Cricetulus griseus: one gene and its partner. The protein of the gene in region 2 interacts with the protein of the main gene of each other region in a pairwise test. Links are inferred from orthologs where the notes say so. Each region holds a gene or a part of one and is shown on either strand. Other genes may lie near its edges.

Region 1 (11,522 bases), about 33 Mb from region 2:
TGGAACTGGAGTACAGACAGTTGTGAGCTGCCATATGGGTGCTGGGAATTGAACCCAGGTCCTTTGGGAGAGCAGTCAGTGCTCTTAACACTGAGCCATCTCTCCAGAACTTTGTAGATGACAGCATCATGTCAGAGTGTCAGAAGTTTGGAGAGGTCTGATTTTTGTCTCCTTCATTTAACCTATAGACCCGTTCTTGGAATTTAGTAAAGCTAAATTCATTCAACTGCTCCACATCTATCGTTTTTGTAGACTTGGTCATGCCCTGCCTCCTCAACCGCTGGCTTTTCAGACTGAAGGATCCTTGAAGCATAGCATAGCTTCAGTATGGGAGCTCCCATCCCATTTAATGCAACAGTGGATCAACAGCTCAGTAACTTTTTTTTTTTTTTTTTTTTGGTCTTTTATCTGGGTTGAACCTGGGGGCTTGGAGACCATTCCCCTAGATATAGATATACATATAGAATGTGAATTTATCCACCAGTACCTTACAATTGCCCATATTCCTCTCTCAATTCATCAAAAAATATTTGTTAAGCACCTAGTGTGTACCCAGCACCATGCTAAGTGCTGTGGGGAACACAGAAGAAATGGAAGACACAGTCTCTGCCCGCTGTGCTCCTATCTAGAAGTGGCTGCGTCACAAGGAGGGGGGATGACCGCAGTGTCTACCCCATACCCCGTGAGTGGCTTGGGATCCCTTTGCTACATGTCAGTGGCACCCCAGACATTCACCCCCTCCCAGCCCCACCCAGCCTTGGGGATCGACAAAGCCATGGTTGGGGGAAGGAAGGAGGAGGGGGCGAGGAGGCAGATGAAGGGACTTCATTGTCTCAAGTTCTGTATGACCGACCCCATGAAAAGCCCCGGGGAGGGGAGTCATGGGGCCCTGCTGACCTTCCACTGCCTGTGGGAACCTCCTCCGAACAAGGGGCAGTGTGGACTGACGTCAATGTGGGGCTTGGCCTTTCCTCTTGTTCCCCATTTTCAGGTGACCCGGCGGGCCCTGTTTCCCGGAGATTCTGAGATCGACCAACTCTTCCGGATCTTCCGGACTCTGGGGACCCCTGATGAGGTGGTTTGGCCGGGAGTCACTTCTATGCCTGATTATAAGCCGAGTTTCCCGAAGTGGGCTCGGCAAGATTTTAGCAAAGTTGTGCCTCCACTGGATGAAGATGGGCGGAGCTTGTTATCGGTAAGAGCCGGGAGGGGGTGCCCACATAAGCGCCTCTCCCATTCCCCAGAGAAGAGAAGCAGATCCCCTCAACTCCGTTAGAATTACCCTAGTCCTCCATTCCTCCGCTCATCGGTAGGCTGGTTCAGCATTGGGAGAAGGGAAGAAGTGAGGTCTGGGTCCCAGGTTTCCGAGCACACCTGCTCTGCATTGGGTCCACTGTTACATCACTGAAGTCAGAATATATTTCTCCCTCCAGCAAATGCTGCACTATGACCCCAACAAGCGGATTTCAGCCAAAGCAGCCCTGGCCCACCCTTTCTTCCAGGATGTGACTAAGCCAGTACCCCACCTTCGGCTGTGATGTCCTTCCCAAAGCCTTCCTCACCCTTGGTCTGACTTGACTCTGGGCCTTTTGGACACAGGTCAGCCTTCTACTCTTTTCTGGCTGTCTTAGCACTCACTTTTTCTCTTGGCCAGCCAGTTCCCGGGACTCAGAGGTGCAGGGAAAGATGAGGTGACAGGAAAAAGTTTTGGTATCAGATGCACTTAACCCAGCTTCCACTACCTTCTCTCCCTCTTAGTCATCACTGAGGGTTGGTATGCAAAACAAAACAAAACTGACCATTCTCTACCCACCCCCATGTCAAGTTTGGCCATCCCAGTCTTATAAATTATTGTGTCCCATGTTTAGGAAGACACACCCCAGACCTCCTGGTGCCACTGTTTTATAAAGGCCAACTGATAAGTTGGGACATTTAGGAACCAAGCCACAGAGGTCTATTTTAATGAATTAGATGAAAAAAAAAAAATAGATCCAAACAGTTTATACCTTAGTTGTAGTGTCTGGCCTCGCCCGACAATCAAGGAGGCCCAGCTGGAGAAGCAGAAGAAATGTTCCCTTTCAGCACTCTGTCTACCTTCTGCAGGGCAAGAAGTCAGGAGGGGGATAGGGATTGGTCTGTTCACCATAATTCACAAGGCAAGGTGAAAGACACTGGAATCTTTCTTTTAGTAATTTTGTTTTCTGGTGCTAACAACTGAACACAGGACCTCGCCCTCACTAAGCAAATGCACCACCCGTATGCCAGATTTTCTAGCCCCTCTTTTTGGCGTTTTAGCTCTTCAGTTTGTCAGAGGTCCCTGTTGCCATCTTCTTCCTCTGAGAGTCACCCCTGACTCCATAGTGGAAGTGAAGCTTTAGATGTCACTTTGAAAGGCTTTGACCTGGTCAGGTCATCGGGGGACATTTTCTATAAAAGAGTTAACAATTATATTTATATTTCAAGTTATAGTAGTTTGGATATTTTAGTGTTTTGATTTTTGTTTTTTTGGGGGGCGGGGCAGTGTGGATGGATTTGTTGCCATGTGCACTTTGGAATTTTGTAATGCAATTGTTGAAAGAAAATATTTCTTTTATGATCTTCTCCCTCTACCCCTTGTCCTCCAGTGTTCTGTTAATATTATTTGTAATTTAGTTTGTAATTCATTAAAAGAAATTATTCTCAGTTGTATAGTGGATCTCTTTCATATTTTATCATTTATATATTTTCTGAAAGAACTGAGCGGGTCACAACCTGAATGTGAATAAGTGATTTCAGAGCCCTTTTCCTAATGTTTGTAAATGCAGGACATCCTCCCATGCCTTTGCACTTGGGATGGTTGTGAGTGTGAGCAAATTGGGTATTGTCTTAGGGAAACTGAAGCTTCTTTCCTACCTTTTCCTATCGACCAGCTAAACCTCTCCTATTCCTGCTCACACGTGCACATGAATAGAGTGCTGTTTCAGTTTTTCTGTTATCAGCAACTTGACTGAGTGGGCTTCAGCACCCCATTTCCCAGTAGGCTTTTACCATTTGTGTAGGTTTTTTTGTTTCTTTGTTTTGGTCTTGAAATTATGTATACATGTGTGGGTCTGTGAACATGAGTGTCAAGTGCCTGCAGAGGCCGGAAGAGGGCACTGGATCTCCTACAGCTAGTTACAGGCAGTTGTAAGCCCTGTGGTGTGGGTACTGGGAACCGACATTGGGTTTTCTGCCAAGAGTGGTACTTGCTCTGAACTGCTGAGCCATCTCTCTAGCCTAGCCTGCCAGAGAGAGACCCTCGTTTCAATCCTCAGTACTACCAAAAAAAAAAAAAAATCCTTAGCATAGTTGTCTAAATATTTTCACATTTACACACAATTCAGAAAATACCAATTACATGACAATTTAGGAGGTCTAAAATGTCTTCAGACTACCGCTCTTTGTTGACCATAAAAAAATAGGCAGTCCACCCAAAAACCCCTGTTCTCTAATGCTCCTCTAAAAAGAACTTCTGAGAGAAAGTTCCCAGATAGGATGTCTTCAATTTGACACGGAAGGCGGGGCACTAGGGTAAGCAGAAGAAGACAAGGTTAATACCAGTCTCTCTCTCTCTCTTTTCTTTTTTCCACGAGACAGGGTTTCTCTGTATTGTTTTGGAGCCTATCCTGGAACTAGCTCTTGTAGACCAGGCTGGCCTCGAACTCACAGAGATCCCCCTGCCTCTGCCTCGGAGTGCTGGGATTAAAGGCGTGCCCCACCACCGCCCGGCTCAGTCTCTTGTTTTTTTGTTTTTTGTTTTTGTTTTTCTTAGTAGTGTCTCACGATGTGATGTGCTGTGTAGACCAGGCTGGTCTGGAACTCATGGAGATTGCTAGGATTAAAGGCGTGGGCCTCCAAACCCAGGGTTTGGGTTTTTTTTTTCCCCTCCTCTTAAATTGAGACCTTGTCTCAAGGAGCCCAGGCTAGCCTTGAACTTGCTAGGTGAAGGGAGGATGACCTAGAACGCCTAATCCTGCCGCCACCTCCCAGTGCTCGATTAGGCGGGGATGCAAGCCACACCACACCCGGCCTTTACAGGGCAGCTTTCGCGCTCGCCTTGCCTGCCACTCAAGTTCGGAAGTGTCCTAGCACTGGTTAAGGTTTCCTTTTGTCCCGCCTGCTTCACTCACCTGATTAGATGTTTACGAGTCAAAAGGCGGGGGAGGAGTGTCACGGGTGTCGAGGTTTCATTGGCTGACGCAGATGCCCGTCAGTACTGCACCGCCCTCTTTCCCAGGATATCTCTCTCTAATGGTTGCTCACCCCGTCAATCTTCAAGGCTTCTCGTTTAGGTATTGGCTCGCGGCCCCGCCAGTCAAGTCTCTCCCTGTACTGGTTGGTGACAGTCCCCCAAAGCCCGCCTTTCTCCAGAAGATTGGCGGGTGAACGCACATATAGCCCACCTTCCACAGTAGGCGGGTGATCCTGCGATTGGCTGGAGCCCTCGCCCTGGCGAGGAGGAGGAGGAGGAGGAGGAGGAGAAGGGGGCAGGAGGTTTGGTTGAGCACCAGCTGTTTGTCTGTTCCACACAGGCTTGGGCCCGACGGGGGAGACGGAGCCCCAGGTACCGAGCTGATGGAGCCCGCAAGGGCAGAGGCGGAGGTCCAGAGAGGAGCGCAGCCCGGCCTGCGGCCGAGGCGGCTCGGGCCTAAGCCAGGGCTAGCTAGCCCCCCGGAGCGGGCAGAGGGGCCGCCCCGGCAGGCCTAGTGGGGGCGCTGAGGAGGTGATCGGCAGGGCTGGGAGCCGAGCCTCCCAGTCTGGGAGGCGGCTGGGTTCTGGCTGCGGCCGCTCAGGGGCCGGGCGCGGGGACCCGGAGCCGGTGTGGACCAGGGCCGGCCTTGGTCCTCCGAGCACCGCGGCGAGGAGGGAGGAGCTGGGGTCGGGGACCAGGCAGCGACGGAGGGAGGGGAAGCCCGTTTGGCTAGGAGGTGTGGAGGGGTCAGCGCTACGCCCAGCCCCGAGGGTGGTAGCCGAGGCTGGGTCTCTAGAGACAGACGTCCGGTGTCGGGGGTGCGGAGCCGGCCGAGCGAGAGGCATTCTTTTCAGCGCAAGTGGCTGTTGGAAGGGGGACTGGGGGTGCTCTGGTGTTGTCGATAAAGAGGGATTTGGTCTCGGTGAAGCAAGAGTCTCAGTAAATGAAGAAGAATGCATTGCTGAGCTAGAACATCAAAGTAGACGGAAGTAGAAGCAGGGCCTGGTATCAGTTATGGGAACTTCTGGAATGATGGTGAGGAGAGGCTCTGTATCTTGCAGTTCCTTACTCTTTTGTTCCCTTAGCCTTTTAGATGTGGTGGTTTCAAGTTTTGGGGGCACTTGAGAAGTAGGAATGAAGACAAAGGTAAAAATCATGTTTTCCGTGGCTCCAGGTTCAGCCCCCGCCCCCCCCCCAACTTTTAATTTGCCTGGCCTCAAAGCTAGTCTTGACTGCAGTCTGCTTTCTTTTTGCTTGTTTGTGCCCCCCCCCCCCCGTTGTCTGAACTGTGAAAGAACTAAGAATTTGGGGTTTGCTTTGCCAGTCTTACCCACTTCATAATGTGGTCAATCTGTGGTGACCCAACTTTTACCTAGAATTGGGGACTCTGTCATCTGCACGGAAAGGGGTTTAGGGTTCCTCAGCCACTAAAACATGGGCCATGTTTGTTGAAACTTCTTTGAAGTTTCTGTGAAATGCTTGGGCATTTCCTAGACAGTTAATGGAGGTCTCCAGGCCTGGAACTGTGAGGTGATATTTCTAAAGGGATTTGGGGAAGTTGGCAGGTCCCTTTTTCCTTTGTCCACTTCTCTAGAAAACACTTTTGTGTGACTAGCTAGTTAGGTCAAACTCCAAGGAATTTAGGAAAAGAAGGATTATAGAGAATGAAGATGCCTTTAAAACTTATTGTGTGTGGGTGCCTGTGTCTGTCTGTGTGTGTGTGAGCCACAGTGCAGAGTGTGGAGGTCAGAGACAGCTTGTGGGTGTTCAGTTCTCAGGTTTGGCAGCCTAGAAGACAGATTATTAATGACAAATGAGAGACCTGTCAGTTTTCCATATATCATTGAGCCCTATTGGTTTCTCTTAGGATCCTACCTCTCCTTTTCTTTCTATACTAATACTATTTATCACTGTTATATATATATATATATATATATATATATATATATATATATTTATAATTTTATGTGTATGTATGTGTGACAGAGTGTATGTATGTGCCTCATATGTGTGCAGGAGCCCTCAGAGGTCAGAAAAGATATTGGGTCCCCTGGCAATGAGTTACAGACAATTGTGAGCTGCCATGTGTGTTGGTAACCGAGAACACAGGTCTTCTGCAAAGTGCCCTTAACTGCTGAGCCATCTCTAGCCTGTATCACTACATTTCTTAATTACCAAAGTAACATATACATATTTTTAAATGTTTAAGGTATACAGAGATACATAAAAGCTGAGTCTTTCCACGCTAGCTTATTTCATTTAGGACAGTTAGAGATATTAAATAAAAGTAATCTTTCTGTTGAGGGATGTGCCATGAAAGACAGAGTTTTTGTTTTGTTTTGTTTTCATGTTCTCACTGAATTCTATTTTCTTGTTCTTTGCACAGAGAATACTCTTAGATGATACTCTGTTATTTATTGTGTTTCTTTTACAGTTCATCTTGTCTCCTATCAAATTCAGAACAAGCATAGAGTTGTCCTCTGAATTATCATTTGCCTTCTTCAATACACACTCACACAGTTGTGCACTGGGTAGCCTAAAAACTGCCCAAATACATGAACAAAACTTTTTTATGTGCAGGAAAGAAACATTAAGGGAAATCATCTTGTTTGGGACAGTTATTGGCTTCTCTCCTAGAGTGAAGAATCTGAAACCCTCAAGTTTTCCCAGTATTTGACTGTTTCTTCCTTATCTCAGAGAGAGTGATGGTTCTAGAAGAGGGTCTTGTACCTGGCTTGGTATATAGTAACCCAAGAAGTTTCCCTATTTCTCTGAATTTTAAATTGGGTTTCCTCCAAATTTAGAAGTATCAGAGACTCGTTTGACTTTTTTGACTCTTTGAAGCCCTCTAGTATGCTAAATTGTACAGTGTCCAGCAAAAACCTCAGATCAACACTGCCCCTCAACTTCCTACCTTACCCTTAAAAACTCCTTTAAGAAAGGATTTAGAAGTTGGGCGTGGCACTTGACTGATTCCAGCATTCTGGAGGTTCAAGTCCAGGCTAAGCTACACAGCAGGCACTGTCAATAATTCCCAAAAGATTTTTTTTTTTTTCTTAAGATCTGGGTTCTAGGATTATAGCCTAGTGGTAGAGTATATGATGAGCATTTACCAGATTCTGGGTATAAAGAGATTGAGAATAAAGGTTGTATCTGGAGTCACTCAAATTTAAAATGTAAATAATTCACAGTGACTTAATTATTTCCAAAGGTTTCTACATATTTAGGGAGCTGAAGAGTGGACTTAGCAATGTAGAATCTCAAACATAGACCTGGAGTTAGAACAGTATGTCTGGAGAAGAAGGCTCTTTCTTGTTGTCCTTAAAATCATGTCCTGTCTCTTCTCTTAACCTTGCTTTAGCACAGGAATTACTTCTTTGTGGTTGGCTTGTCTATGTGTGTTAATAAATTTGACATCTGAGAAGGAGGCATAGATGGGGTAGGAGAAGCAGCAGGCGCCTGCTTCCTAACCCAAAAGTATTTCCGGTGGGAAGGGGGTCAGTGGTACAGCCTGCCTAGCATGTGGGAGGCCAAATGTGACTGGAGTGTGAAACAGCAAACTTAAAGTAAGGAAGTGCAATGGCCGTCTGGGAGGAAGGATGCCCTAAAGCCACACATAACATACTCCAACTTCCCAAGAATATTTCTGGAAAGATTTACAAACAGTAACTGAATTGAAAAGGAGCCGGGCATTGGTGGCACAAGCCATTAATCCCAGTACTCGGGAGGCAGAGGCAGGTGGATCTCTGAGTTCGAGACCAGCCTGGTCTACAAGAGCTAGTTCCAGGACAGCCTCCAAAGCCACAGAAAAACCCTGTCTCGAAAAAACCAAAAGAAATGAAAAATAAAACAACGAAAAAGGAGTCAACCAGATGAGAAAAGTAGATTTCTGGGCTAGAATTATGTAGCTTTGGTTTAAGGGTTGTGGGTACCTCCCTGTATGGTGGTATGACTTTGGTTTTTAAAGAAATACAATTTTGGCCCAGTAGTGGTGGCACACTCCTTTAGTCCCAGCACTAGGGAGGCAGAGCCAGTCGGATCTCTGTGAGTTCAAGGCCAGCCTGGTCTACAGAGCTAGTTCCAGGACAGCCAGGACTACGCAGAGAAACCCTGTCTTGAAAAATCAGAAAATGAAAGAAAAAAAAAGAAATACAATTTTGATCTTTTTAAAAATATGTGTGAATACATTATATACATATTTATAATGGTATATGCTATATATTACTATTTATACACATATAAGACTGTGTATACAGTAAAGAATTAGTACAGTAAAATACAGCATATTAACCAAGCTCTCTACCACTGAGCTATATTTCCAGCTCTTGTTTTACTTTTTATTTAAAAACTCTTAACTTATTTGTTTTGTTATTTGTTGTCTTTTGAGACAGGGTTCTCTGTGGCTTTGGAGGCTGTCCTGGAACTAGCTCTTATAGACCAGGCTGGTCTCGAACTCACAGAGATCCACCTGCCTCTGCCTCCTGAGTGCTGGGATTAAAGGCGCCACCAACACCCGGCCACTTTTTTAACTTTTAACTACGTTGCTCATATTGGTTTTAAATTTACTGCCTAGGCAGGCCTAACTTTTTTTTTAGAAATTCATTTATTTTTAATTTATGTATATGGGTATTTGCCTACATGAATATTGTATATATGTGTACTACAAGCCTACCTGGTACCTCTGGAGGTCAAAATAGGGTGTCAGATCCCTTATAAGTGGACATTTGTCAGAACCCAGGTCCTCTGCAAGAGGCACTGTTGCTCTTAATTGCTCAGCCATCTCTCTGGCCCCTCAGTCTTGGTCTTAATTACATTTTCTCTGGGACTCTTGAGCAATGATGAATTTTGCTGTAGTAAGATAATTATTAGTTTCACAGGTGACATTTATACTCAATCCTGTAAATTTGGGTTTTGTTAGGCAGACAGATTAAGGCATGGCATGCTAATCTTTCCCAGGTCAATAATAGGGAGTTAGTACTACCATGCTGATAATCGATAAGCATGCTTTTTGCCTACAAAGGGGAAGGTAGAGGAGGTAGAATTCTTAAGTCAGTGACTCACTGGATAATATTGAACCAACACAGTTAAAGCATTGTGCTAAGGAGTGTAAATCTCAGTTCAAGATTTTGGTGATTTGGGTCTAAACCAAGTGGGAAAAGAAATGAAGGTATCTGTTGGCTTCTGTCCTATCTTCCTTTAGAATACCTCACACCGGCCCCAAAGCTCATCAGATCCTACAGATTGCCATAGTTTCCCTTCTGCCATGCTATCCAGGCAGGCAGGAATTGGTCAAGATCTGACAGAGAAGAACAGTGGTCCTCCTGTGGGAACAATCTAAGACTAGGTCCTATGGGAAACCTTCTTTCCTAACTGTTTTCAGTTCTAAACCCAGTACTTCCTGAAACTGAATGGAGGCACTCATATTTGTATTTTGGTACCCTTTCCAAAGTTAAGCATTTCCTGATTCCTTGAGAAGTACAGTGGAGGGTCTGAGGAGATAGCTCAGTGGGAAGCAAGCTTTTGAAGACTTGATTCAGAGCCCCCAAACCCATGTTTAAAAACAAAACAAAAACCTGGCACACACTTGTAATAATCCCAGCACTGGAGAGCTATAGAGATGGAGATAGGCAGATTCCTGAGGCTCACTGGCCATCCATCCAACCTAGCCTAATTGGTAAGCCAGTGAGAGACCCTGTTTAAAAAAGCCAGATGGACAGTGCTGGAGAAACATCTCAGATTATCCTCTGGTCAACGTAAACATGCTTGCCTGCAGGTACAGTAGAGCCTGGTGTGGGGGTGACTTTAATCCCAGTGATTGTGAGGCAGAGGCAGGCAGTGTGAAGCCAGTCTGGTCTACAAAGTTACTTCCATGCCAGGCAAAGCTTGGTAGAAAGGCCCTGTCTTCAACAACAACAGAAAGTTTAGTAGCGCTGGGTGTAGTAGGTTGCATCTATAATCCCAGCATCTAGGCAGCTGAAACTGGAGTATCACCACAAGTGTAAGACTGTCTTTTCTCCAAAACTATTTAAAACAAAACACAGTGGAGGGATGCTAAGTGGGGGTGGGGGGTAACATGTCTGCAGTCCCAGCACATAGAAGGCAAAAGCAGATGGATTTTTTTGTTGTTATTTTGTTCTTTGAGACAGGGTTTTTCTGTGTAGCCCTGGCTGTCCTGGAACTCACTCTATAGACTGGACTGGCTTTGAACTCAGAGTTCTGCCTGTCTCTTTCTCTTGAGTGTTAGGATTAAAGGTGTGCACCACCACTGCCCAGCTAACAGGTGGATTTTGAGTTGAAGACCAGCCAGCCTAGGATACATAGACACAGCCAAACATTGTCTTTAAAAAAAAAAAAAAAGGAAGGAAAAATTAGAATAGTATAAAGGGGCAGAAATACTGTTTAACTGTCTATGCTTATTTATGTAGACCCAGTTTCTCTCTTGGAACTGGATTTGTAGATCAAGCTGGCCTCAAACTCACAGAGATCCACCTGCTCCTGACTCCTGACTCCTAGGATTTAAGGCGTGAGCCACCACCACTCCCCAGCTTAGCTGGCTATACTTAATGCCTGACAGACTGACTAATTTTATGAGCCTCAGTTTCCTTATTTGTAGAGATGGACTATCTGACATATGGATTGGCTCTTACCTGGGTGACTGGCCTCACAGGACTGACACTTCAGACTGAGCAGAGTGTGGTGGCCACGTACTGGGACCTCTGTTTGCTTATAGTTGATAGACCTTTAGAGGTTTTACATAGACTTAGGGTAATTACACTGAGTTAAAGCAAGTCTAAGGGGCCTGGCCTGAGGAATGCAGTCTTGCTCTAGTTGGGACTGGCCAACTAAGAAACCTTTTCTGTTGGATGTACTTTGCTGTGGTGCTTGGAGAACCCTGTCCTGTTGCTACCCAGTGGCTGACTGTGGACAGGCCTCAGTCTTCCCATGTTAAGGGATGTTTATATGCTGCTCCTGTCTATGGAGCTGCCCTTTCTTTTTGGTCTTTCAATGTAACCCTGGCTGGGCTAGAACTCAGTAGGCCAGGTTGGCTGTCAGTTTTTAGTTATTTTTTTCAGACAAGGTCTCGATCTGTAGACCAGGCTGGCCTGGAACTCACAGAGTCCCCCTGTCTCTGAGTGGCCGAGGGAATTAAAGGTGGGTACCACCACACCCTGCCTGACTTTAAATTTATGGTGATCTTCTTGCTTTTGCCCCCTGAGTGTGGGATTACAGATAGGCACCATTATACTCAGCTGTTTTGTTTTGTTTTAGACAGACTCTTTACTCATTATGTAGCCCAAGTTGGCCTTGAACT
Region 2 (11,060 bases):
CTTTCTGCGCCTCTACTGTTTTCAGGTCTGTGGCTGTCACTTGGATTCTGTCATTCAGCTCCTTGTGCTGCCTCTCTGCATCTTGACTTAACTTTTCAAATTCTTGCTTCAAGATAATTTTTTCTTCCTCTTTCTTGGTAAGAGCTTGTGTAATATTTTCAAGGGCTTCAGATTTATTCTGCAGATCCAATTTTGTACTTGACACTCTAGATATTAAAAAAGAATTTTTAAAATTAATGGAAAATTTACCATTCAAAAATATTTATATGTGATTACCAAGTCTTGAATTTTTTATATATCCCAGAAGAAATAATTTAAAGAACTGGGAAATCAAGGAAATGCTTAATTCTCTAAAATATAATGGTTTATATATTTATTTTAAAATTGTTATTTGTGTTCTACTTATCACTAACAAAATTTTAATATTGCCTTAAAATTGCCTTAAAATATCTCATCAGATGAACATGATTTCCTTAGCAAGGGCCAAGTTATTTTCACTTTCTAACTTAATCCAGTCCTATCCACCACATTCTGTCATCTGAGAAATTCAGATAATAAATCCTAGACAGTCTACAACTAGCAAAGGTTTTCCAGGCCCCTAAAGAACCTAGTCAGTGTGTTATTCCCTAGGCACACATGAAACTATGTGTCTTCTCTTAAAGATATAAAATATTTTATGTTGAAGAATCTGAATCTCAAATCATTTAACATAATATAGTAAGATATTTTTAAAGGAATAATTTTTCTTCAAAAAATAAAGACAAATGGTTTATCTAACTTCAAATACATTAGATTAAAAAGTGATTCATGGGCTGGAGAGATGGCTCAGAGGTTAAGGGCACTGTCTGCTCTTCCAGAGGACCTGAGTTCAATTCCCAGCAACCATATGGTGGCTCACAACCATCTATAATGAGATCTGGTGCCTTCTTCTGGTGTGCAAGCATGCATGCAGATAACTGTTTACATAATAAATAAATAAATAAATAAATAAAATCTTTAAAAAAAAAGTGATTCACTATCATTGATCCTTTAATGCAGATTTTTTTTTTTTTTTTTTTTTTTTTTTTTTTTTTTTTTTTTTTTTTTTTTGGTTTTTCGAGACAGAGTTTCTCTGTGTAGCTTTGGAGCCTATCCTGGCACTTGCTCTGCAGACCAGGCTGGCCTCGAACTCACAGAGATCCGCCTGCCTCTGCCTCCCGAGTGCTGGGATTAAAGGCGTGCGCCACCAACACCAGGCAATGCAGACTTTTATGAATAAGCTACATCAATGAGGAAGTGAAAATCCAACTTGAAGAATGTACACTAATTCTGGAGTTTTCCTTCACTCAATGTATGTGGCTTATTGATTGCCTGATTGACTGATCGATGGACTGACTGTCAACTGACTGTCAACTCTCCAGAGCGAGTGCCAGGATCGTCTCCAAAGCTACACAGAGACTAGTGGGTAGGTCTGCCTATGGTGCACTTCTTTGACTGATGCGTGAAGGCTTAGCCCACTGTGGGCAGTGTTAGCCCTGGGTGGGTGGTCCTGAGTGTGAGAAAATAGGATGAGCAAGCCAGTAAGCAGCTCCCTTCCATGGCTCCTGCTTCAGTTCTTGCCTCCAGGTTCCTGCCTTCATCTCTAGTCCTGGCTTCCTTTGATGATGTACTCTAACCCGTAAGATGTAATAAACCTTTTCCTCTCCAAATTCTTTAGTGTTTCATCACAGCAAGAGAAAGCAAATTAAGTACTCAATAATATCAAAGTTAAAAATTCACGACAAAGTTGAAAAGACAAATTCCTAATGAGTAAAACACTTTCTGTATTTAGTATAGTATCACAGATCAGAAACATGACTGTTCTTAAGTGACACATATACACATTCCAGTATTTAAAAATTTTTATGTTAACTATTTCAAACTGGTGAACAGCTGGAAATGAATGCTCAAGAGAAACAGCTACCATATTACTGCTGAAAAGTGACTAAACCAAATTTTATTGAACTAAGTGAATGATGGAAAATGATATTAATTTTAAGTAACAATAGTGTTATTTTTCATTGACATTAACATGAGTAGTATATAAAGCAGCACACACACACACACACACACACACACACACACACACACACACACACAGAGAGAGCCACACTGTGGAGTCTCTAAGAACGGTGCACACACAGAGAACCACAGGGTATAAAGTGGACAGTCAGCTTACATTTCCTTCTCCTCTTCAAGCTGTTTACTCAGTTCTGTGGTTCTAAGCTCGAGGTCTATGTTCAGCTGCCTCTGCTTCTGTAGACTCTGCAAAGCCTGCTCCTTGCTTACTTTAACTTCTAGAGCATCAGCTTCTAGTTTCTGTGGGTAAAGTACAGCATCCACTTGAATTTGACAATATCTAAACTATTACTAAATTATAACATTCAAATTGTTATTGACAAAATAACTACATTTACAGAAACCCTTTCTGACACCACTACCAAATGAGGAAGTTGTTCTGCTTAGAATCTGTCAGAGAATCTAGACTAGGTACTTTATATAAGTCAGCAGTTATTTTCAAAATTAATTATGAGAATCAACTTATACATAAATATTTATTCTAAAAGCAAAAGTTTAGTAATTCGAGTTTGAAAAAAAAACTAAGTAACTGGTCATTTCTGTACCCACTTAAAATATATTACCTGTGCATATGCAGTTAACAACTATGAATAGCAAGATGCTTAACGTACAAATGAACAAATTTGTGGTGTAGTCCTTGAACTGACATCCACTGACCTTAAACATACAGCACCTAAAATTCTTGACTTTGCTTAGTGTCTTAGTTTAGATTTTGTCACTGCTTTTTGTAGCGCATCAGACTCATATTATGCATAATATTATGAGTTGGATTTTTCAAATTTATAAAATCAAAGTACTACACATAGGTTTAAATGGAGGAAACATGCTTTCTATTATCTTTTGGTATGTATTTACGTGTGTATGTTCATGTGTGTACCTTTGGGGAGTGTGTGCATGTGGAAGACACATGTCAAAACTAGGTGGCTTTTTAACTCTCCATCCTACTTTCTGAGACAGCGTCTATCATTAAACTAGAAGCTTTCAGATGCAGCTAGGCTGGCCAAGCAGTAAGTCCCAGCATAAGCTTCACAGGCCCTTTCTGCCATGCCTGGCATGTTACACAGATGCCATGTCTCCAAGCTCAGGTTACATGGCAGGACTTCACTGACTCAACCATTTCCCCAGCCCCCATTTAACTATTTTCTTAAATGAAACACAAAACATAGACATTATACGTGCCAGTGGGGTACCTAATAATGTCATGCTTAAACCGAGTTACACATATCTCTTCATTTTCCTTTTCTCGATGCTGAAAACTTTCAAAAATCATTTTTCTAGCCTTTTGAAATGTGCAGTATAAGGTGTTATCTAAAATCATGTGTCATGTGACAGTGCCCCAGAAATTCTTGTTATAATTACAACTATTTTAGAAAGGTTCCCAAATAAGAGTTCTCTCTGCTCACTTTTCTGTAACCCGTTTTTGCCTACCTAGTCTTTGCAACCATATCTAATTTAGCATTATGACTACTGTTAGCATTAAAAAGAAAACCAAAAACAGAGCTGTAGAGCTGCAGTCATTCTCTCATGTTATATTGTCCATGTAAAACAGTCACCTCATAATCCTGTAATCATACATCATGCTTCAACTGATTATGGAAGTGCAGGTAACAGGAAACCTAAGGATATTTTCGTTAAGTGCTGATAATTCTAAAGTCAAATTTTCCTCTGATAAGTCTAATTATCTCATCTTTTTAGTAAATCAACACCTCACTTAGAATTATCTTAAGGTAAGGTTCAGCTTATAATGGTTTAAATGCATTACTAAATTAGGAGCAAAATCCAAAGGGCGTATAAAGTTTTAAAAAGAAAAAAAATGTCACCATACATGATATTGTATTGGAATAAGACATAGGGAAATGGAAAATCAAAGGGGAGAAGAGATTTTAGACCATCAGAATTATAATGTTTGGTGTCTCCTGAAAATAGTTTACACTTTACAATAAAACTGGCACTATGTTAATTGCTATTTATCAAAGTCACCCATCAATGAAGGAATGGAAAATAAAGATGGAATTCAAGAGTAACTGATAAAGTAACTGTTGAAGTTTTATACCACTTCACCTTTCTTTGTCACTTAAGTCTTTGACTCTGGGAAGGTCATCAGATTCCATAGTTGCTGAGTAGGAAATACAACAAATTCAACTGTCTTATACAAACCCTAATTTGGCCTTCTAATGCTTCAGCTTTCTGTTCTAAAGAGAGGTTCTTCTCCCTGTACTCTTTTAGATGGCTCTCCAGCTGACTGCAGTGTTCCTGCTTCTCCTGTAACTTTGCGGTGACCTGGTCCAGCTGCACAGTGACCTTATTTAACTCCTGCAGGAAAACACATTTGAAGAAAAGTTGTAGCACCCCAATATTCAGTCACAGTGAAACTGAAAACTCCAATTTTATATAATAAGACATTCCTACCTAAGGAGAAAGATTGAATTAGAGTAAAGGGTAAATATAGGAAATGGGCCTAGAGCGTCAGTATTATTTTAGTAAGTATATTCTAAAAGTCCTCCCTAACAAAGGGGAGGAAGGCTACCAGCACTTTGACAGTGACCCTAAAGCAGAAGCTTCTATTAAGAAGCCTGCCATCGCAGGGCGTTGGTGGTGCACGCCTTTAATCCCAACACTCGGGAGGCAGAGGCAGGCGGATCTCTGTGAGTTCGAGGCCAGCCTGGTCTGCAGAGCGAGTGCCAGGATAGGCTCCAAAGCTACACAGAGAAACCCTGTCTTGAAAAACCAAAAAAAAAAAAAAAAAAAAAAAAAAAAAAATCCCAGCACTCGGGAAGAAGAGTTGGAGGCTGGAGGCCAACCTGGTCTACAGAGTGAGTTCCAGGACAGGGGTCAAAACTACATAGATAAACCCTGTCTCGAAAAACCAAAAAAAAAGAAGGCTGTCGGTCTACCTCACTTCCCCAACCAGTGGTTCCTTATGTGAAAAGGCAACAATCCCACACTTGAAAGTAATATTTCATCTCTTACTATGGCCTAGGCTACCTAGGATACCCAATACAATATTAGGAAACCCATCCACACCTGAACACTAGTTATCTAAAAAAAATAAAAAATAAAAAAATAAAAGATCTCTCTGGCTCCTGTAGTATCCACTCAATTGGTTCTAAAAAGTCTGAAAAAGAGGGTTTGAAAGCCTATCACAAGATTATAGAAAGCCAGTCACCATTTTAACAAATTAGTAATTAATTTAACTACAAAACAGGATGCTATACTGTGACAGTACCAGATCCCCTACCTGCTGTTTATCTTGTAGTGCGTTTTGAGCTGTGTCCAAATGATTTTGAAGATCAGCTCTTTGAGCAGTTTTTGCTGCTTCTGCTGATAGTAACAATTCAGTTTTGGCTTTAATCTGAAACACAATTTACAAATTACTGAACTCCATATTTAACTGTTGTCTTTCCCTTCCTTAAGACACATTAGTTTTGTCACAAAACTATTAAAAAATTAGGTTCTATAGTAGAAAAGTAATAGCTGAGACACTGAAAAATACATATGTGAAAATCTCCCAAATAGAAGTAGGTAAGGGAGAGGATAATGGTTAGATAACAATAAGAGCTGTTCCTCTGTGATACCAACACATGCTGGTGTGCCCCTTTGTGGAAAAAAAAAAATGGTTCCAGGACTGGGGATACAGGTCTGAGAACCCAACAGGTAAGAGGCAAAGGCAAAAGGACTGTGAGTTCCAGTCCATGCTACGTGCTTAGACCGTATCTTAAAAAGGCAAATAAACTGTATACTTTACTTTCCTGGGGAGACCAGAAAGAAATGTCAAATTTTACCAGTACCACAATAAACTCAACTATGCCATAGAAAATGATGGCTCTTAAGATCAAGGACTTCAGTATGGAGCCCAAACAATAAAACAAACCAGAAGTATGTTTAAAATTCACTCTTTCCAGGTAACTTCTCATATAAAGAGTTTCATTTTTGATTCTCATTGAAAGCCAAGAAATCACACATTTAAAACCTCAGGCTTTCCTCAATAAGTTTTGAAACAGTCAAATGAGCTGAAAGTTGTGCCTTCTTTATCAAAAGTGACATTTATAAGTAGTGAAATAACTTTAGCACAATTCACCTCTATTAAGAAAAGCAAAAAGTAGAAAAAATATAAATACATTTGAAATTAACATATTTTAGAAGAGTTAAAATGATACTCATTTAACTAAGTCAAGAGAGGATGAGTGAACATAAAAAATTTAAAATATACACAATAACCATAATTTCAAGCAGAAAGGAAAATCTTCTCCAAATAATTATTTCTCAGTAACTCAATTGTTACTCTTCACAGAAATGATGTTTGATCAGGTATATCTCTATCTTGAGTTCAAAGTGAAAACTAAAGAAATCTACACTTCAAGAACAGGAAGTAAACATTCACTGGCAAACAAGTTCCAGAGTGTGAAGAACTTATTTTTCTGTAAATCAGCTTCATTTACATATAGCAGTTCATCTTTGTGAAGAACTTAAAATTCATGAAATGTTTCAAAATAGATGTGACAGATTTTCTAAAGTCATGTAATATGTGAAGACCTGAGGGAACTGATTAATACCACCACTCTATCTCAGAGGGGTCTAATGGCAAAACAAACAAAAAACCCAGCCCATCTCCAGTCCCTTTAAATGCATGGAGATCAGAGACCCTGCCACTGCTGCAACCTGCACTGCTGCAGCTCATGCATTAAAGCCCTTACAACAGTAAGGCACTAAGAGCAGACTGGGACACTGAATGTGCTAATTTACCTTCACACTGTGCTGACCATCCTACTGGGAAGTACCTTGGAAGTGGGAATCAAAAGTTACATTACAGAAATCACCTTTGCATAGGGAGAAGGAACAAAAATACCTCTGGACACAGGAAACCTCAAGAAACTATATAATTTAATTTGTATACTCATTTTCCACTGACAGGTAAAGAGAAAAGAATGTATACCACGTATGGTCTACAATTGATGTTCTATGCACACACACAAATTAAACAATGCATTACCTGTACGTCAAGCTGAGAGACCTTCTCCTTGCTTTCATTTAACTGACTGCTTAGTTCATTGATGCTGGTTTCTAGGGAAAGAACACGGTCTTGTGCAGCTCGAAGATGTGCCTTCTGTTCCTGTACCTGGTCATGCAAATTCTCCTCTGCTTGTTTATGGCTTTCAGACTGATTCTTCAGCTTCTCCATTAGTTGAATCAGCTATTACACATGAAAGAGTCTAATTACAAAGTTTGCAAACCACAGAAAAAATGAAGAAACTCAAATTTACGCATCAGAATACTGAACTGTTCTATAATAGGTAATTTCAAGCTTTTTCCAGTAAAAATATCCATATCTTTATTAACAAGTCAATCTAATATCCCAAATCCTAAGAACATCAATTTCAGATATATTATTTTTAAAACATCTCTATTCAAGTAAAATTTATACACAATAAAATTCATCTAATTTAAGTATAAAACCTGAGACTTGATAAAGGTGTGCTCTTATTAAATTATTAACACAATCAAGGTAAAGAATATGTTCATTATGCAAAAATACTAATCTGATTAACAAAGAATTCTTTGTATACTGCAGGTATCTTCAAGTTTTCAGACAAATTATACGTTTTTGTTTTTATTTTACTTTTGCAATGTTATCTTTTCAAAAGCATGTATTTTTTAAATTTAGATGAAATCTAATTCATCTGATATTTTTCACATACATGAGAGTTGAGTTCTTTAAGTCTGGCTTTATATTCTAGTAGGTCTTCCCGGCTGGAGCTCATTATTCTTTTCTAACCTACAAGACTGCCCAGGGAGGCCCTCTTCAGCTTTATTTGGAATTTTTCAACCATTTTGTTTTATGTTCACTAATTCTTTTCTGTCAATTTTCAATTCAAGTAATTTTTCTATCTTTAGCAGTTCTCTATGGGTGTTTTGTATCATTGCCACTTCGTGTGCCATTGTTATGGTTTGTCCTTTACATCCATAGGCACTAGGGGGTATTTTAAAGTATTCATCTGGTGAGTCCATCATCTTTCATTTCAGGATCTGTTTCCACCAAGTTTTTTTGTTTTGTTTTGTTTTGTTTTTAAGTGCAAGGCTGATTTTATTAGAATTTAAGAGAAAAGTATAATATAAATTAGGTGAAAATCCCAGCAACCACCAGAAGATAACAGGGAAACCATGCCTTTCAAGTCACTCATGAACAGACAGCTTACTAGGAGAGAAGCGCTGTCAGGAGTGGAAGTGGACTAAAGAGCTATGGAAGGAGTCTCAAGGTCTCCACTGGATGACTTTTTACTGTCGATGGTTCACACTCTTCTGCTGCTTCACATATCCAGTAACCTTTAGTCATTTATTGTGACTAATCTGAATTGTGCTGTCTTCTTTCAACGAATGCTGTGTTTTGTTCCAGCAGTAGGTGGCTGCATTTGTGGCTCACTTGGGCCCTATCAGGGTTTAGCTTTCCTTTCTGTTAGAAGCGGCCTATAGGAGCTTTTACTCTATGTTTACTTCTCATGTAAGGTGTGGTATGTCTGGTGGCCTTCATCTCTGACTGGTTGGGCTTGAACATCTTTTGTGAGCTCCAGTTCACTGCCTAAGTACAAAACTTAGAATTCAACCAAAGCCCCAGCAGGCCCCTAGTGAGATTTGTGGTGCTTTTCTCTGCAAAGCTAATTCTGACCTCACACTTAGCCTTGCAAATTAAGCTGCCTTAACCTCTATGAAGCTCCTAACCTACACTCATCAATTCAAATACATTATCAAAATATAAATAACTGTTGAGTTTGAAATATTATGCAATACTCAGTAATAGCTAATACTTGATTACCACATTTAACTTACTAATTTGTTACTCATTTCTTTTTTTAAAATATCACAAAGGCCAGGAGACAAAGTATATACCATCAGTCACATGTCTACTTTTCCAGGGACTTAGGTGAAGTGATTTATCTGTGGTTACTATATAGCATAAATAATAAAAACCCAGAGACAGATATTGGGCTTCAAGCTGAAGATCAGAATAGCAAAACAGCCAGCCACTAGCTCTTACCTCTGAAAGGGATATCCTGTCTCCAGGAATCCTCAGAGTGGCTGGAGACTGAAAGCCGCATGAGACACCGAGCTCCTGTCTTATATACCTCTCTAGTGTTGGGATTAAAGGTATACACCACCACTGCCCAGCCTCTATGGCTAACTAGTGTGGCTGCTGGGATTAAAGGTGTATGCCCCCACTGCCTGGCCTCTATGGCTGTACCTAGCTTTGCATTCTGATCTTAGGACAAGCTTTATTAGATCATAAACAATGTATCACCACATCACACAGGTAGTAAATTACCTCCTGGGATGTCTAAATATTGTACTGGCCTTCAACACACAGTAACCTACCTTGATGATAAATATGATGATATAAAAAATAACTTTTTAAAACAAGAAAAACCAGGGCCATGAATTGTTTTTATAAAACATTTAATACAATTAACAGGGATTTCAGTAAAGTTTAGAACTATAATAACCATTTACAAACGTACTTGCTGTTGTAGTGCATGGTTTTTCTCTTGCAACTGGTTAAGAACAGCAGTCTCTCCTTCACCAGCTTGGATTTTTGCATAGAGGTCCTCTCTTTCCCTTTCTAGTAAGGAAATATTTTCTTTACTCTTCTGCAGTAAAGCTTCAAGGTTCTGAATCTTCTGATCCTTGTCACCAATCTGACGTAACACTTGTTCCAAATCATTCTGTAAAGAATTAAAACTATTTTAAGGATGGAAGATTTAAAAAGTTATTCCTCAAACATGAAATGACTGATAATAATTTTAATCATCCAAAATGTTAGTCCTACATCTTAAAAATTATTATACTTTATTGTGGCAAATTAATAAAAACCACCTTTTTAATAACATAAGTCCACATTATTTACAAGCAAGAATTTAACAAAAACATTTATAACACAATTTTCATAATACTCTGACCTTACTGCCTATGCTCTGATCCTTTTCAGACAGTGGGACTTACTCAGTGACTGCACCAAGGGCACTCCTACCTCAGAGTCTTTGCACTAATGATCCTGCTGTCTTCAATGCTTCCCCAACAGCCAAATGATCCCCTCCCCCCTCTTCAATGTTTGCTCAATTGTCACGTTCTAGATCCAGCCGCCCTGCCCATTACCTCTAACACATTATAGCTTACTTATTTCTCTCATGTTTATTTACCTCTTTCCGCTTCCCATTAGAACATATGCTACATATATATCTTTATTATTCATTGATATACATCCAAGACATATGACACAAAGGTTCTAAAATAAACACTGAATGAAAACAACCACTGCAGCTGTGTAAGGTGGTGTACACCTTTAATCCCAACACTTGGGAGGCAGAGGTAGGTGATCTCTGAGTTCAGGGCCAGCCTGGTCTACAGAGTATGTTCTAGGACAGCCAGGGCTACACAAAGAAACTTTGTCTTGAACCACTCCCTCCTCCCCCGACCCCAAAAAATCATTGCACTCTCACACATGGACACTTAGGCAAACTCACTTCTGTACCCAGCAGGACTCTTCTAAATCAGCAAAGTCCTCTTCTTCCTAAATATTACAAAGAGCATCCTGCAACAGATCACATCCACAATATCCACTTTCTATTAATAACCTGGTCCCAATGGCTTTGGCTCTGCCTCCTTCTTTTTAATAGTCAAACAGTTTTGCACAGAATAAAAGCCCTAGCTTTACAGTAGCTCATGTAATATCGATGACAAGTAGACAGCTAGCATGTTTAATAATTTGTGTCAGTATTAAAACATTCAAATCAGTCACTTTTCAAGTGTGTTTCTCATTCCTCTAAGCTTTGGTCATGAAAAAACACATTGCCTGTTTTCTCTCAGTTTCTCTTCCTGCCATCTACTCTTTTTTTACTATTCTTCTGGAATTTGAATTCCAGGGTAGAGCTTTCAGCAGAACTCAATTTCCACACAGCACTGAAATCTGGTTTTCA

What was found.
Region 1: the proteins of early endosome antigen 1 (region 2) and Rab5b interact in binary tests that used the Homo sapiens proteins (3 or more experiments, as listed by UniProt). The link is inferred for Cricetulus griseus from reciprocal best matches to the Homo sapiens genes EEA1 and RAB5B.

The regions. Positions count from the first base shown.
Region 1 is NW_023276806.1:129,204,882-129,216,403, forward strand, and holds the start of Rab5b (ras-related protein Rab-5B), read left to right. Parts: upstream 1-4,439; 5' UTR 4,440-4,582; intron 4,583-5,295; exon of another isoform or gene 5,296-5,356; intron 5,357-11,522. Other genes in the region: Cdk2 (cyclin-dependent kinase 2), read left to right, coding at 539-682, 992-1,195, 1,434-1,538. UniProt on the Homo sapiens protein: The small GTPases Rab are key regulators of intracellular membrane trafficking, from the formation of transport vesicles to their fusion with membranes.
Region 2 is NW_023276806.1:161,948,782-161,959,841, reverse strand, and holds part of early endosome antigen 1, read right to left. Parts: intron 9,810-11,060; coding exon 9,606-9,809; intron 7,289-9,605; coding exon 7,088-7,288; intron 5,450-7,087; coding exon 5,336-5,449; intron 4,411-5,335; coding exon 4,255-4,410; intron 2,338-4,254; coding exon 2,198-2,337; intron 207-2,197; coding exon 1-206. UniProt on the Homo sapiens protein: Binds phospholipid vesicles containing phosphatidylinositol 3-phosphate and participates in endosomal trafficking.